Linked DNA regions of Caenorhabditis elegans. The protein of the gene in region 2 interacts with the protein of the main gene of each other region in a pairwise test. Each region holds a gene or a part of one and is shown on either strand. Other genes may lie near its edges.

Region 1 (6,791 bases), on a different chromosome or scaffold from region 2:
TGGTGCTCCACCCGCAGGAAAAACCTCGATGTATCTGCAAACAGTTAATTCGTTAAAAGAAATATTTGAAAGTCAAACCTGCTTCCCAAGTGCTCTCGGTCTTTTTTCAAAGCATTGTTGTAGTCTTCTTCATTGGTAAAAACCACTTTCGCATCACCGCTGGTTCGACCGTTTCTCCTTGGAATTTCCAAGCTTTCGATTCCATTATCTTGAAGAAGATTTTTTTATAACGATTTAAAACACCACTCACTTCCGAAAAAATCTCTTAGCTCCTGTTCAGTGGCCTCCCATGGTAATCCACGACATTGAACTTCATACGCAGTAGACATTTCTGAAAGACAAAAACGGATTTTTCTGATTCTGTTCTTTTTTATCCGTCGAGATCAAATATACGTTTTTGTGGCAAAAATTACAAAAAACTAATACAATTTTCACATAAAAACCGAAAGAAAACAAAGTAACAAAACAAAAAATATTTTTCGATTTAAACTCTCGGCCGTGCATTTGCGCGTAGCGTCCGTTGCAGTGGTCGCAAACACCGATTGTTTACCGTACTACGAACAATAAATGATGCATTTTAATATTAATTTTTCTTTTGTTTCGAGGCTCTATGTACCACCGTTTTCTTATTCTTTTACAATGTATTTTTGAACAAAATTTTCACTTATTTTCTCATCTTCCATTAAATGCAAACAGTGAGTTTATTTGGTCTGAAAATGCTTTGCATCTCCAACGAGTAAGAAAAGCTGTTCTCTGTCTAGCAGCATCTTACAATTGTAAAACTGATGGTTGGCTATTTAAATGAAGTTTTAATTTTTTGGGCGATGAAAGTCTCATTTTGTTTTAGAACTGCAGGATATATTCACGGTTTTTCAAAGATCTGTCAATTGACTTGTCGATAACGAAAAAAATCTAAAATGCTGGCTTAATAATTTAATTTCTCACAGTGAACTTTAATATACATAAATCTTTTTCCGAATATAGTGCCATGATTTTCTGTCTGTCCTTTGTATATAAGCTCCACACTTTGAAAATATAACACCAATTAATGTCTTCATTCCCCTCCATTTCCGTCATCTTCCATATATTCTCACTTCAATTTCCATGTCTTCTTCGTCTTCTCAATTTTCCTTCGTAGGGCTTGTGTGTGAGGTTGTCTCGCGTAAATGTATGCGCCAGAGCGAGAGTGTGTGTGCCAATCGAAACAGCAGCAGCAGCACTCTGCCCTCTACAATGTCTCCATTTTCACTACACTCTTTCAAGTATTGATTTTCAAATGCGAAGCACAAAGCGAGGAGGAGCGCAGAGAAAAGACTGGCAGGGTCCCGCTGGTGCTCACTTCTTCTCTCATTTCTGTCTTTGCTCTGCTCTGCTACTCCTTTTATAGTACTCATTTTTTCCAATTCGACTGATATTGTCAATGTATAGTCAGAAACTTCGGTTTTCAATTGAATAAAATCCATGATTCGACTGTTTTTCAGTTAATTCAACCTAATTTAAACCTTTGCTTTTACCAAAAACCTCTTTTTTTCAAGTTAAATAATGTCAGTCGAACTTATTTATAGGCCAATTTTGAATGTTCTTAACAAGTTTAATTTATAACGTACACTTGCAACTACCCGTTTCTCATAACTTTCTGAATACTATTCGTTCTCCATGGTATTCGCAATAATTCGTATAATTTGGCTTTCAAATACTCTTTTTCAAACGATTCTCATTTCCGATTCAATAAAGAAATGTTTCAGACAAGATGGATAAATCTGACATGCAACGAACCGTCGACTCGCTTCGCAGCCAGCTCAATATTGAGCGTACTCCGATCACTGTTTCGGCAGCCGAGTAAGTTAACGAGATCAGAATGCCCAACTTTCAAAATTTTGTTTCTTTCAGACTTCGTCGCTTCACCGAAAGCCAAGAAGATCCACTTGTGAACCCAATCGACAAGAAGGTTAACCCATGGGCTGAGAAGAGCAAGTGCAGCATGCTCTAAATCATTTATTCATCCACCATCGCTTTCAAACCTCACTTTTGTCATCCATAATACTAATCCAAACGCCGATTTTGTCTTTACTATTCGTCCTATTTATATGATCCAATTTTCGCATTCTTCCAATTTTTTGTAAAATGAAAGCAAACTACTGTGAATAAACTATTCAGATATATACAATTGTAAATAATTTATCATTTGTTCAATTAACTTCGATTCAGAGATCTACATAATTACAACTCGTCATGAGAATAATATGGGTGCAGATGATCGGCTTCTTGAGCAGCTTCAGTTTTGGCAAAAAGAGCATGATGCTTCACAATTTCTTCATAAGACAATTGTCCATCTTTATCATCATCTGAATTTGTTAGAAGACTTTCAGCTTCATAAGATCCAGCTGTTGTTCCATCAACGAGAAGCCAATCGGTCAGCTCGTCGCCGGCCAGTTTTCCGTCTTTGTTTTTGTCATAAACTGTACGGAATCTAAAAATGGACACAAATTAGGAAAAAAAAAATTGAACGACTTTTCTCCGAAGCAGAATAGTTTAGAAATATATTATTTTAAAATATATTTTAAATAAATATTGATTCGAAAGTATTTATATATTGAAAAATGAGTTAGCCTATTTATAAAACCGTATTATTTCAAATAATTGTATTTTCTAAAGTTCTAAATTTTCTTAAACACATGTTTCTCAAATATTTTCAGTTTTGAATCCGCAAAATATTAAATAAAGAAATATGCGCCTTCTACAGTAATTTGTTCACGATCCCTGCGAGACCATTATGCTTTATTAGTCATGTCCCTTTAAAGTATACCGTGCTCTCATATTGATTTTCTATAAAATTGTTATTTTATTGTTTTCCCGTTTCTTGGTTTTCAATCTTTTTTATTTATTTTAAAATCCCAAAATCTTAACATTAAAAGCAATAACTCACCTCTCCACCTCAACTTTATACCATTCACTGCCTCTTTGTTCATCAAGTTCTCCCAAAAATTCCTTCTCTTCGATCGCTCCATCTCCATTCTGGTCTTTTTCTAGCAGCGTTACAGCAATTAGAACCGGATGCATATGTGGATGATGCTCCGGGTTAAGAAAACTTGCCAGTTCTTCCAGATTTAATTTTCCATCATTGTCTTCGTCAGCTTCTGAAATTTTCTAATTTTGATGTTGCATTTTCTCATTTATTTCAGAAAAAAAGCCAAAATCCAAAGTTTTCAATAGCACATGAAAGATTAAAAACGTAGTGTCGGCGTTTCATTTTAAGTTTTTTATAGCTACGTTAATTCTCAAACTATTTAAACTCCGAAACATACGTTTGAAATACATTTTATCCTGTGCAATAAGTGATTCTTCTTCCTTGTTATGTAACTCTTCGTCAGGAAATGAATCGGCCAAGTATTCTTCCCACGATACCTACAATATACAAATTTACATTTTTCTCACACCGGGTGGTTTGATACCTCACATGTTTCCTATCTACGAGAGAAAAAAGCGTATTTTTGAAATATAACTAAAAAAAAAAAAATATATATATATATACAAATACTCAAGTTATGAATTAAGAAAAAATTACATTCAATAAACTTTTGCATTAATAAATTCGAAACAATTCAACTCTCAGAACACATTTTGGAAGTAGATAAAATTTGGAAGTAGATTTTAAAAGATTAGAGTCATGTTAAAAGCTAAAAAAAAAAGTAAAGTGCAAAATTTTAAATATTTCTTATAATTAGAAAAACTCACAAATCCATCAGCGTTCTCATCAAGCTCACTAATTCTCTCTACTGCTTCTCTATCAACAGTTTTCTGATATGATTCGGATACCCATGCAAGAATTTCACTTTTATCTGAAACATCATTGGTACATATATTGGATTTTCTATTCTTATATTATAGAAAGTCTAAATATTACCTACAAAACCATCATTATTTGTATCCAAAGCTTTCGCAAATTTTTCTACGCTTTCTTGGCCAGATTTTAAGTTTAATTTCTGCTCAGAAGCTGGCTTTTTATGATCTGACGGGGAAACAGAACCATCCATCTGTAAAACAGTTTTTATAAATTTTAAGATTTTGAATTGAAAAATCGAACCATCCGCTCTTTTTCTGCGAAAATCGATACAATGATGGAGAATATTATGCATTGCTTAAACCGCATTTGTAAGAAAATCTGGAATTTTTGTTTTGGGATAATAATTGAATGTTTTTTCGATGAAATCTATTAAAACAGACTTAAAATTCTTCATAATTAAGAAAAATCCATTTTTCCAATATTTGCTAAAAAGGCACCTCGTGGACTAGTTTCCACATGGCCGAGCTATCTCGTGTACTCCTCTCGAACATCGATTTTTTTCCTTCGGCGCGTTTTCCAGTTGGATTCAATTTTAAAATCTTCTTGTTCTTCAGAAATTTCTACCCGAAAATGTCACCAATTCAAAGAATAGAGTTTTCCGAAAAGATATGCAATCGAGATCTCAACGGATATGTTCTTTATTCAACAGAAAGTGCATGGATTTGGGTTGGAGAAAGGTATTTTAAATTTTTTTTATTCATCTTTTAAAAAATAAAGCTATTCGTTTCAATTATGAAATCAAGCTATTTGATAAAAAACCATAGTCAAAAATGAACAGTTTGTTTAAAAATGTTAGTTTTCAGTAAAATCGATTCAATCGGGCTTGCACATTTTCCAAACTTCACAATGCTCGTCGATGGAGAGAATACGCAACGAGAATTCATTAAATCAACTACTCTTCGGTTAACAAAAACATCGAGATTCACACAGGTATTTTTGAAAAAACGTTCATTTCGAAATAAAAAACTCGAGGAAATTCTCATTTTTATCTGAAACCGATGCAACCAGAAAAACCAAAAAAAAACAACATTTTGTTTTTGAGAGATTGAATTTATTCTAAAAAATTCCGTATTTCAAGTATTTTCTCAAATATTGTGTAATATTAGCTTGGAAATTATGAACAAAAAGTTATAATTGATGATCATGTCGCAATTATAATTTTTAGGCAGAAAATAATTTTCGTAACAAAATTTTCGCTGAAAATAATTTTTTTCGAAAATTAAAATAAGGCCACTTTTGCTTAAATGGGTGTGACTACTTCCGCGGTAATGAAAAATAAATTATATGAAAAGAACAAAACTCCACACATTTTTAAAAACCTTTTTTTGTAAAAAATAACCTTTGGCTTAAAAATCGAGAAATCAAATAATGTATTCATTAAAATATTTGCAGGTATTCTTCACAACAGACATCGAATGCGAAGAAGGTCTATTCTGGAAGGCTCTCAATGACAATATGATGGAAAAACTGAACGCCCTGAACACGAACTAATTTTTTAATTTTTTGTTAAATTTTTAGTATATTGCCTGAAAGTTCCGTACGGGTTTTCATAGAATAAACATATATTTTTAAGTAAATCTATGGCTTGTCGCATCTCTGTGAATTTCATTTAGAAAACTAAATGCAAGTGGTTTAAAATAACAAGAATAATTCTTCGCTAAAATTGCTCATTTTTGGCTGCAACTTACGCAAAAAAGAAAACAATCGAAAAATTTCAAATTTATATGATGAACTTGTTTGGGTGTGAAAAGAATAGGAAGGAAAGCAGGGAAATGGGATGGAGAACAAACAAAAAAGTAGTTTTTTTTGAAGAATAAGAAGAAACATTTGGAGAAGAAGTTGAAGCAAATTATGCACAGGTATCATGTAATTTACGAAAGAAAAAAAAACACGGAGAAAAATGATTTAGAGACGATCCAAAGAGATTTCAGCCTCTTCTGGGTATTCAAGCTCCCAGATTCTCTTCAAGTGCTTGCCCTTAACGTCACGTGGTGCTCCGAATGATGTCATCTTCTGAAAAATTATGAAAAATTAGAATTTGTTTCAATAATTTGTTTTTTTTTAAAGGAAATCGTAGTTTTAAACTTAAAAGTTTGGTCATTTTTCTTCTTTTTAGAATGTATTTATATGTTTTTTTAAAATCAACTTGCACATAATTTGATAATACGGTACCTGCTCTCGCCACGATCGAAATATTTTGAAAATCGAGGCCGCGCAAAAATGTTTGCAAAAAGGTATGCGCCTTTGAATAATACAGTAACGGTTTTTCTACCATTTTAGGTTTCTATTAGGGGTGTCAATAAGTTCCGGGTCAAAATTCATAACTTTTTTCGTGGCGAATCGATTTTTCTGAAAATGTGGGAATTTATGTGATCAAACATGGTCTTTCATTTGACGGTACTTTCAAAAAGTTTTGACCACTCCATGTATCCCAGCTCGGAGACACTTTTTTCAGGCGTATGCCTGATCTCGCTTCTTTGTAACTTTCAATTGAGACTTATGTGCGGATTTTGATTAATTAAGTATACAATGTAAAAATACAATAAAAATTTAAGAAAAAATTGGTTCAAAAAAAAATTTTTTTTGGTTTGTCAAAAAATCCTCGAAAAAATTTTTGTCGAAAGTTCTTGATTTTTTGTACAGGAATGATGCAACCAAGTCTGAACAATTTAACACACAAAACTTTTGAATTTAACATTTAGATTTAGAGAAATTCTCAAAAATTTCAAAAAATGGACTAAAAAATCATAAAAATCACGTTTCAAAAGTTTTGTGTGTTAAAAATTGTTCAGACTTGGTTGCATCATTCCTGTACAAAAAATCAAGAACTTTCGACAAAAATTTTTTCGAGGATTTTTTGACGAACCAAAAAAAAATTTTTTTTGAACCAATTGTTTCTTAAATTTTTATTGTATTTTTACATTGTATACTTAATTAATCAAAATCC
Region 2 (7,401 bases):
CCGAGAATTGCGGTTGTGGTCTTTCCTGTACCAAATGCACAGTCGAGAGCAAGACAATCGAACTTAAGACGCTTAACAGTTCGAATGAACTGTGACTGCTCTTCCGAAAGAGTCAAGTCTCCGAACGTGATGATCGTACGATCGTTATCGATTTCCGCATCGGTAACCTTTGGTCCTCCAATGATCGCTGCATAGGCTCTCAGAGCTGATGCTTCAACTACTGGCGGAAGTCCACGAGTATCGAGGAGAAAACGACGCAGGTGATCGTTATCCTCATGCTTTTGGGTAATAATTACATTTTGGAACAATAAATTATTGATAATGGCCTCATGATGGTTAGCTTTATGTACCCGTGCTGAGACGGTGGCTCCCTGATCGCGTGGTAACGCGTACTCCACCCCAATCTCTAAACACTCACCAACGGCTGTCTCCAAAGTGCACGTCGTACTTCTCGTCCATTTCTTCATTGCAATCGAAACCTCTGGTGTGAAAGTCATCACACGAGCAACACGGTCGACTTCTGAAGCAATTCATCACAGGAGCCCCGAAAATATCCATGCACTGCATAGCAAAGTTGCGGTGGGATCCTTGATGTTGGCGAGCAAAGAAACTGGATCTTTCCATACAATAGAGCAGCGGACGGCAGTACATATCGTGGACCACGTAGCGATTGGGGGTCTCGATTCCGGTGAAGATCTCGAGTGGTTCAAGGCATTGGACAATCATAAGGGAGGTGGTTTGAGCCAGGACGTCGAGTATGGTGTGAGGGGCGAGGTCCACGAATCCCTGGAATAATGTTGGTTTAGATTGAGGATTTTAAATTTCCCGCCAAAAAATTTTCTCAAATGTTTCAAATTTCCCGCCAAAAAATGCTCCAGAAGATGTGATTTTCCCCCAAAATATTTTTCTCAAAAATTTGAATTACCCGCCAAAAAAAATTTGCAGAAATTTTCAATTTTCCGCCAAAAGTTTTCACAATAGCCATTCATCTGATCGGTTTTCAAAAAAGATTAACGATGACGTCACTCGACAGGCCCCGACTACAAGTGGTGACGTCATATGTCCCAGTTTTTGGGTATGACGTCACTAAAAAACAAACAAACAATATGCAATGATAGTACACGGGCTTCTTCCTCGCAGCGATTTTTGCGCTCCATCGACAATCGCCACGGACTGCAGGTGGGGAAAAACCTGTACTCCACATCAAAGAACCGCGACGCGACACGCAACGCGACACGCAACGCGATACGCAACGCGATACGCAACGCGACACGCAACGCGACACACAACGCGACACGCAACGCGAGACGCACCGCGACACGCAACGCGACACGCAACGCGACACGCAACGCGACACGCAACGCGACACGCAACGCGACACGCAACGCGACACGCAACGCGACACGCAACGCGACACGCAACGCGACACGCAACGCGACACGCAACGCGACACGCAACGCGACACGCATCGCGACACGCAACGCGACACGCAACGCGACACGCAACGCGACACGCAACGCGACACGCGACGCGACACGCAACGCGACACGCAACGCGACATGCAACGCGACACGCGACGCGACACTCGACGCGACACGCAACGCGACACGCGACGCGACACTCGACGCGACACTCGACGCGACACTCGACGCGACACTCGACGCGACACTCGACGCGACACTCGACTCGACGCGACACGCAACGCGACACGCAACTCGACACGCAACGCGACACGCAACGCGACACGACACGCAACGCGACACGCAACGCGACACGCAACGCGACACGCAACGCGTCGTAAGGTTACTCACCGTCATCTGAACCGGCATTGCTGCGACCATATTCGGCACCTCCATCGGAGTATCCCGTGGCTGTGGAAGTCTCCCGCCGCCACGCATCATTCCAGCTTCCGCTCGGCTCTTCGGTGGCTCCTTTTCGGATTTCTCAGTTGAAGTCGCACAGCTGACTGGCTGCTCTCCGGGTTGTTTATTCATTTTTATTGGTTTCTGGAAAAGTTGGAAGGTTTTGGGGTCCCAGAAAGAAGCGATAGAAAACTCACATTCGATGACGATGAACAATAGTAGGAATGGGAGATTATGTTGGGAGAAGATGTTACGTGAGGGGTGGAAAAGGGGTCACGTTGAAAATTTGAATTTTCATCCAGATTACAAAGCTTTTTTTTTAAATAAAAATCAACTACTTCTTGGGATGTACGGGAAAAATCTAAGCACTTGTGCCCAAAAAACAGAATTATCTTCTGAAAAAAGTGAGCTTGTAATTACAGAAAAGCTAGCTATAAAACTGTGGAGAAAAAACTAGTTTATTCTAGTTTGCAAGTGAAATGGGCTCATAAAAAATTCAAAAGCTGCTATGCATTCCGCCATGCATCCCACCATGATGATGACGATCCTGGTTACGATCCTCAAAGTAGGTGAAGTCGATCAAGAAAACCGAGGTGACGAGCAGAAGCTTCAAGATTGGCGGCATGTCCATTGGAACTGAAATATATCGGAATTCAGATAGAATTCGGATCTTAAGAACTTACAATGAACAATATAGGTGTCCGCATCGGTGAACATCTCCTGCATGAATCCCGGGTAGAGGCGGACGATTTCTCCGACGAGTGCGCCATTGTAGGTCATAACTGGAAATTTCTGAGTACCACCACAGCCAGCACAAACTGGAGATTGGATGAGCAGGGGCTGGTTGCAGCCGGATCCGATGAGCTCGAACTAAAAGAATCTAGGACTAGCAAATGAAAGGTGTTAGGTATAAGAATTCCCTTGTGATAGCTCGGAACAATTTAGATCCCTAGATCATCGACTAACAACCCTACTTTCACAAAATGATCGGCATAGGACGTGGCATTGTGGTTTTATCGGGGTATCATGATGTCCCATATGATCTACAATATTGAGACGCACAGTTTTGGCACACTTTTCTGGGCGGAAAACACCCGCATTTTTTGTAGATCGTACCGGTATGAGACAGCCTGACACCACTTTAGGACTGTTCACAATGTATTGTTAAAATGTTTCCTATATTCTCATGCCTCTATAAATGTTAGGGTACTGTAGTTTAATGTAGTACTGTAGTTATTACTGGCGGTGGTTATCGTCCAAAACTCACGTTAGGATTACAGCACTCCCTCTTCATCATCCCAATCTGCTGATCGAGGAACTGGGTGCTCAGGAAATCATCGCATGAGCAGCATGGTCTTCCTCGAAAGCAAGTCATCACCTGGGCTCCGTGCGTATCCATGATCTGCATTCCGAAGTTACGATTGTTTCCGTGGTACTGACGAGCAAAGACGTTTGATCTTTCCATACAATAAAGCAGCGGACGACAGTACATGTCGTGGACCACATAGCGATTTGGAGTCTCGAATCCGGTGAAGATCTCGAGCGGTTCGATGCATTGGACAACCATCAGAGAGTTGGTATGGGCGATTGCGCTGAGGATGTTGTTGCTGGCAAGCTGAACGAAGCCCTGAAAAGTCAGAATTTAGAGCGGTCACCATTAGCTAGAATGACTTACAGTCATCTGAACCGGCATCGCTGCCACCTGATTCGGAATTTTCATTGGCGTCGATCTCGCCGCTGGCAGCTTCGTTCCAGCATTGTTTCTTCTACCGAACCCCGCTCCCTCGGCACGTGGCTCATCCTTCTTTGAATCCTGCTCAACCTCCTCAGGTGACTTCACCGCGGACGTTAAGCTAATTGCTTTCAATGGTAGCTGTCCCGGTTGAATATTCATTTTCTGAAAAAATTATGCGGGTTTTGAGGGAAAACCAAGAGAAATAAGAAAACTCACATAGAAAAGTGTTGGTCACAAGTCGGAAATAAATTAATTTTGAAAATCTGATCTGATTGTACTATGTGGAACTTCACGTCAGATTTAAATTTCTGTTGGAAAAAAATAGGAAATTATCTGCGGAATTGTTGTCTGCTGCACGTGTATTAGTTATCGCAATTTTAACAAGTCATTTGTGCCCAGAAAACGCAATCTTTTGCTGAGAAATTATCAGCTAGTAGGTATAGTAAGAAGAAGCCAGAAAAAACTAGTTTATTCTAGTTTGCAAGTGAATTTGTGAACAGGATCCTTTATAAGTTTAGAAGCTGCTATGCATTCCGCTATGCATTCCGCCGTTACGATGTTGATCCTGGTTACGATCCTCGAAGTAGGTGAAGTCGATCAGGAAAACCGAGGTGACAAGCAGAAGCTTCAAGATTGGCGGCATGTCCATTGGGACTGAAATATTCCAAAATTAAGATAGAAAAGATCAGAAGCTTAGAATAAAATGCTTACAATGAACAATATAGGTGTCCGCATCGGTGAACATCTCCTGCATGAATCCCGGGTAGAGGCGGACAATTTCTCCGACGAGCACACCATTGAAGGTCATCACTGGGAACTTCTGGGTGCCACCACAGCCTGCACAACCTGGAGATTGGATGAGCAGGGGCTGGTTGCAGCCGGATCCGACGAGCTCGAACTGAAAGAAAAGGTTAATAGGATGTGTCTCAAGGAGGATGGGAGATTCAGGTGAAGAGCTAATAAAGCTTCAGCCTATAGGAACGATTGCTCTGATCAGGGGTGTGCGGCAAGTTTGGCGAATTTGGCGAATTTGCCGCGTTAAAAATTCAGTAGTTTTGGTGCTTCAAAAAACATCAAATTTTTCGGAGTTAGTTGAGCTCGGCAAATTTGCCGAGTTTGCCCTTGTACAAGGTGTCATGCTAGTCCCGATGTTGCCGTTCAGCGGTATATAGATATAGATCTATAGATCTACGTATAGTGCAATTGTATAGTGCAATTTATATCTGTAACTTGGTACATTGGTGACGTACGGTCCTTCCGCCTTGCTCTGTGTTTCTCTCTTTTAGTGTGTCAATGCCTAGCCGCTGGGCGGCAGAGCAAAGGCGTGAAACCTGTACGTCTATGTACCAAGTAATAGGCTTTCTAGATAAACATCTTAATACTGAAAGACATTTGGACAGTCTAGTAACCTATAGTCTATATCTATGTCAGTACAAACTTGGCACATTGCAACCTACAGTCCTTCCGCTTTGCTCTCTTTTGTGTATCAATGTCTTGCGGCTGGGCGGCAGAGCAAAGCGGAAAGACTCTAGGTTGCTATGTGCCAAGTTACAGATATATTATAGATCGGACTATAGATAGGGCATCAGGGGTGTGCGGCAAATTTGCCGTTTGCCGAGCACTGCAAGTTTCAAAATTTGCCGCACAGCCCTGGCTCTAAGCTCGATCAAGATTGATGCAAACTCAGATCAGCGAAAAGATCTCTTTTGAGAAAAATGTGATTTTTCCAAAGAATGCTTCAGGGCTCTGGATTACTGTAGTTTTACTTGATACTAGCACTCACATTAGGATTGCAGCACTCCTTCTTCATCATCCCAATCTGCTGATCGAGGAACTGGGTGCTCAGAAAATCATCGGTCGAGCAGCATGGTCTTCCTCTGAAGCACGTCATCACCTGAGCTCCGTGGGTATCCATGATCTGCATTCCGAAGTTACGATCGTTTCCTTCGTACTGACGAGCGAAGATGTTCGATCTTTCCATACAATAAAGCAGCGGGCGGCAGTACATGTCATGGACCACGTAGCGATTCGGAGTTTCGAATCCGGTGAAGATCTCGAGGGGTTTGATGCATTGGACAACCATCACAGAGTTGGTATGGGCAATGGCGCTGAGAATGTTGTTGGCGACAAGTTGGACGAAGCCCTGAAAAGTCAAAAGTTAAAACGATCACTATTAGCTAGAATGACTTACAGTCATCTGAACCGGCATCGCTGCTACCTGGTTCGGAATGACCATTGGCGTAGATCTTGCCTCTGGGAGTCTCTTTCCACCACCTCCACCTCCTCCGAATCCTGCAGCCTTGGCACGTGGCTCTCCTTTCTTCGAATCCTGCTCCGGCTCAACCTCCTCAGGTGACTTGGCCGCAGACGTCAAGCTAAGCGATCTCAATGGTTGCTGTCCCGGTTGTTTGTTCATTTTCTGAAAAAATTTTGCGGGTTTTTTGGGGAACACTGACAGATATAAGAAAACTCACATATCAGATCGTTGTTCACTAGTCGAAAATGAATGAATTTCAATCGAAGGGAGTATTGATTTTATTTGTTGTTTCGAAAATTGAATACGTGGGGAAAAGGGATAGGGCAGAAAGGGCAGAAAGTTCATATTCACGTTTGAACTTATCTAATTTATTTAAAAATTTATTTATTTACCCCGTGGCTCCAAATTTTCTAGAAACTATGAACAAAAACATCCCGCAGCTCTTCCAAAACTTTCTCGAATTCACCGATCTGAATTTTCGGTACTGAACAAAAACTAATAGATTTTCAATGGTTAAGCAGCCAAACTATATATTCGTTTTGTGGATCTTCAGTGAAACACTGAAGATGACTTTGCAGCATGAAACCTGAAACCAGTGGCTCCTGGCAACCAGCACAATAAATTTGGAGCTCGAAATCAGTACTTGAACAAGCAGTGATAACTTGTCAAGCGTTCGCTGAGTCTCAAAGTTATCAACTAGAAGAATGCACATCGACATGTAAATTCTTCCATACAGGATAGTGTGGCAGAATTTTAATTTCTGCAAAATTACTTTGAAACAAATTTTTATCAATCTCCCAGACTAAAAAACTTTTGAAGTGTTATCTGTTGAAATGTGTAAGCTATTGGAATGTTCAAATGTTTATTCAAATGAATTGCAAAACTTGGCATTTAGTCAGCATATGGTGGCCAGTAGTCAATATCGCTGAAAAAAGTTATTTTTCTGATGAACTAGCACTAACATTATCTTACATCGCAGCGTATTGTCTAATTTGGAGTTTGATTGGCGTATTGTCAGAATATGAGTACTCAAGTTTCATGTTGTAGATAGCAGCATCGAGGTTTCCATAGCCTGCTCGAATTGTGCTATTTTTCTGAAATAGCTAACGTATATTCCCTGTTAGTGAGGCATAGGATTACTGGAGCCTGCTCTCGAAATTTATTGTCTTATCAAACAGTTACTGAAGTTATAAAACGGCCACAGTCCCCAGCTTGGGTGTGGCTTAAATTACCGCCCAGTAGGATCACCACCAGGTATTACAAAAACAAACTTCGACCAGAAAACAAAAAAATTTTTGGTCGAACTTTGGACCAAAAAACAAGAAACAAAAAATCGAAATTTTCAAAAAAACCAACAAAAAAAAACTAAAAAAAACAAAAAACAAAAAAAATTTCACGGTTTGATATCAAACGGGACAAAACAGGAATTTTTCATGAAATATTAAAAATTGAACACACGAACGATTGAACAAGGTTTTTTGTTCTCATTTGTTTAATTTTTTGCTGAATCAGTGTTGCAATTTATTTTTTGGTTTTTTTGGTCTCAA

What was found. The genes of interacting proteins can lie anywhere in the genome.
Region 1: the proteins of scrm-8 (region 2) and calu-2 interact in a two-hybrid assay, tested with the Caenorhabditis elegans proteins (one large-scale study listed by BioGRID).

The regions. Positions count from the first base shown.
Region 1 is NC_003279.8:6,756,018-6,762,808, forward strand, and holds calu-2 (EF-hand domain-containing protein), read right to left. Parts: upstream 4,163-6,791; 5' UTR 4,151-4,162; coding exon 4,085-4,150; intron 4,035-4,084; coding exon 3,905-4,034; intron 3,840-3,904; coding exon 3,736-3,839; intron 3,406-3,735; coding exon 3,306-3,405; intron 3,138-3,305; coding exon 2,927-3,137; intron 2,471-2,926; coding exon 2,221-2,470; 3' UTR 2,164-2,220; downstream 1-2,163. Other genes in the region: hrpf-1 (RRM domain-containing protein), read right to left, coding at 1-34, 79-208, 251-329; gpc-2 (G protein gamma domain-containing protein), read left to right, coding at 1,751-1,839, 1,891-1,990; F08B6.1 (BPH_3 domain-containing protein), read left to right, coding at 4,415-4,521, 4,648-4,774, 5,237-5,335; Protein unc-87, read right to left, coding at 5,750-5,857.
Region 2 is NC_003282.8:4,161,134-4,168,534, reverse strand, and holds scrm-8 (Phospholipid scramblase), read right to left. Parts: upstream 3,844-7,401; 5' UTR 3,814-3,843; intron 3,760-3,813; 5' UTR 3,757-3,759; coding exon 3,538-3,756; intron 3,490-3,537; coding exon 3,130-3,489; intron 2,733-3,129; coding exon 2,546-2,732; intron 2,499-2,545; coding exon 2,359-2,498; 3' UTR 2,305-2,358; downstream 1-2,304. Other genes in the region: scrm-5 (Phospholipid scramblase), read right to left, coding at 4,112-4,251, 4,309-4,495, 5,381-5,740, 5,789-6,013.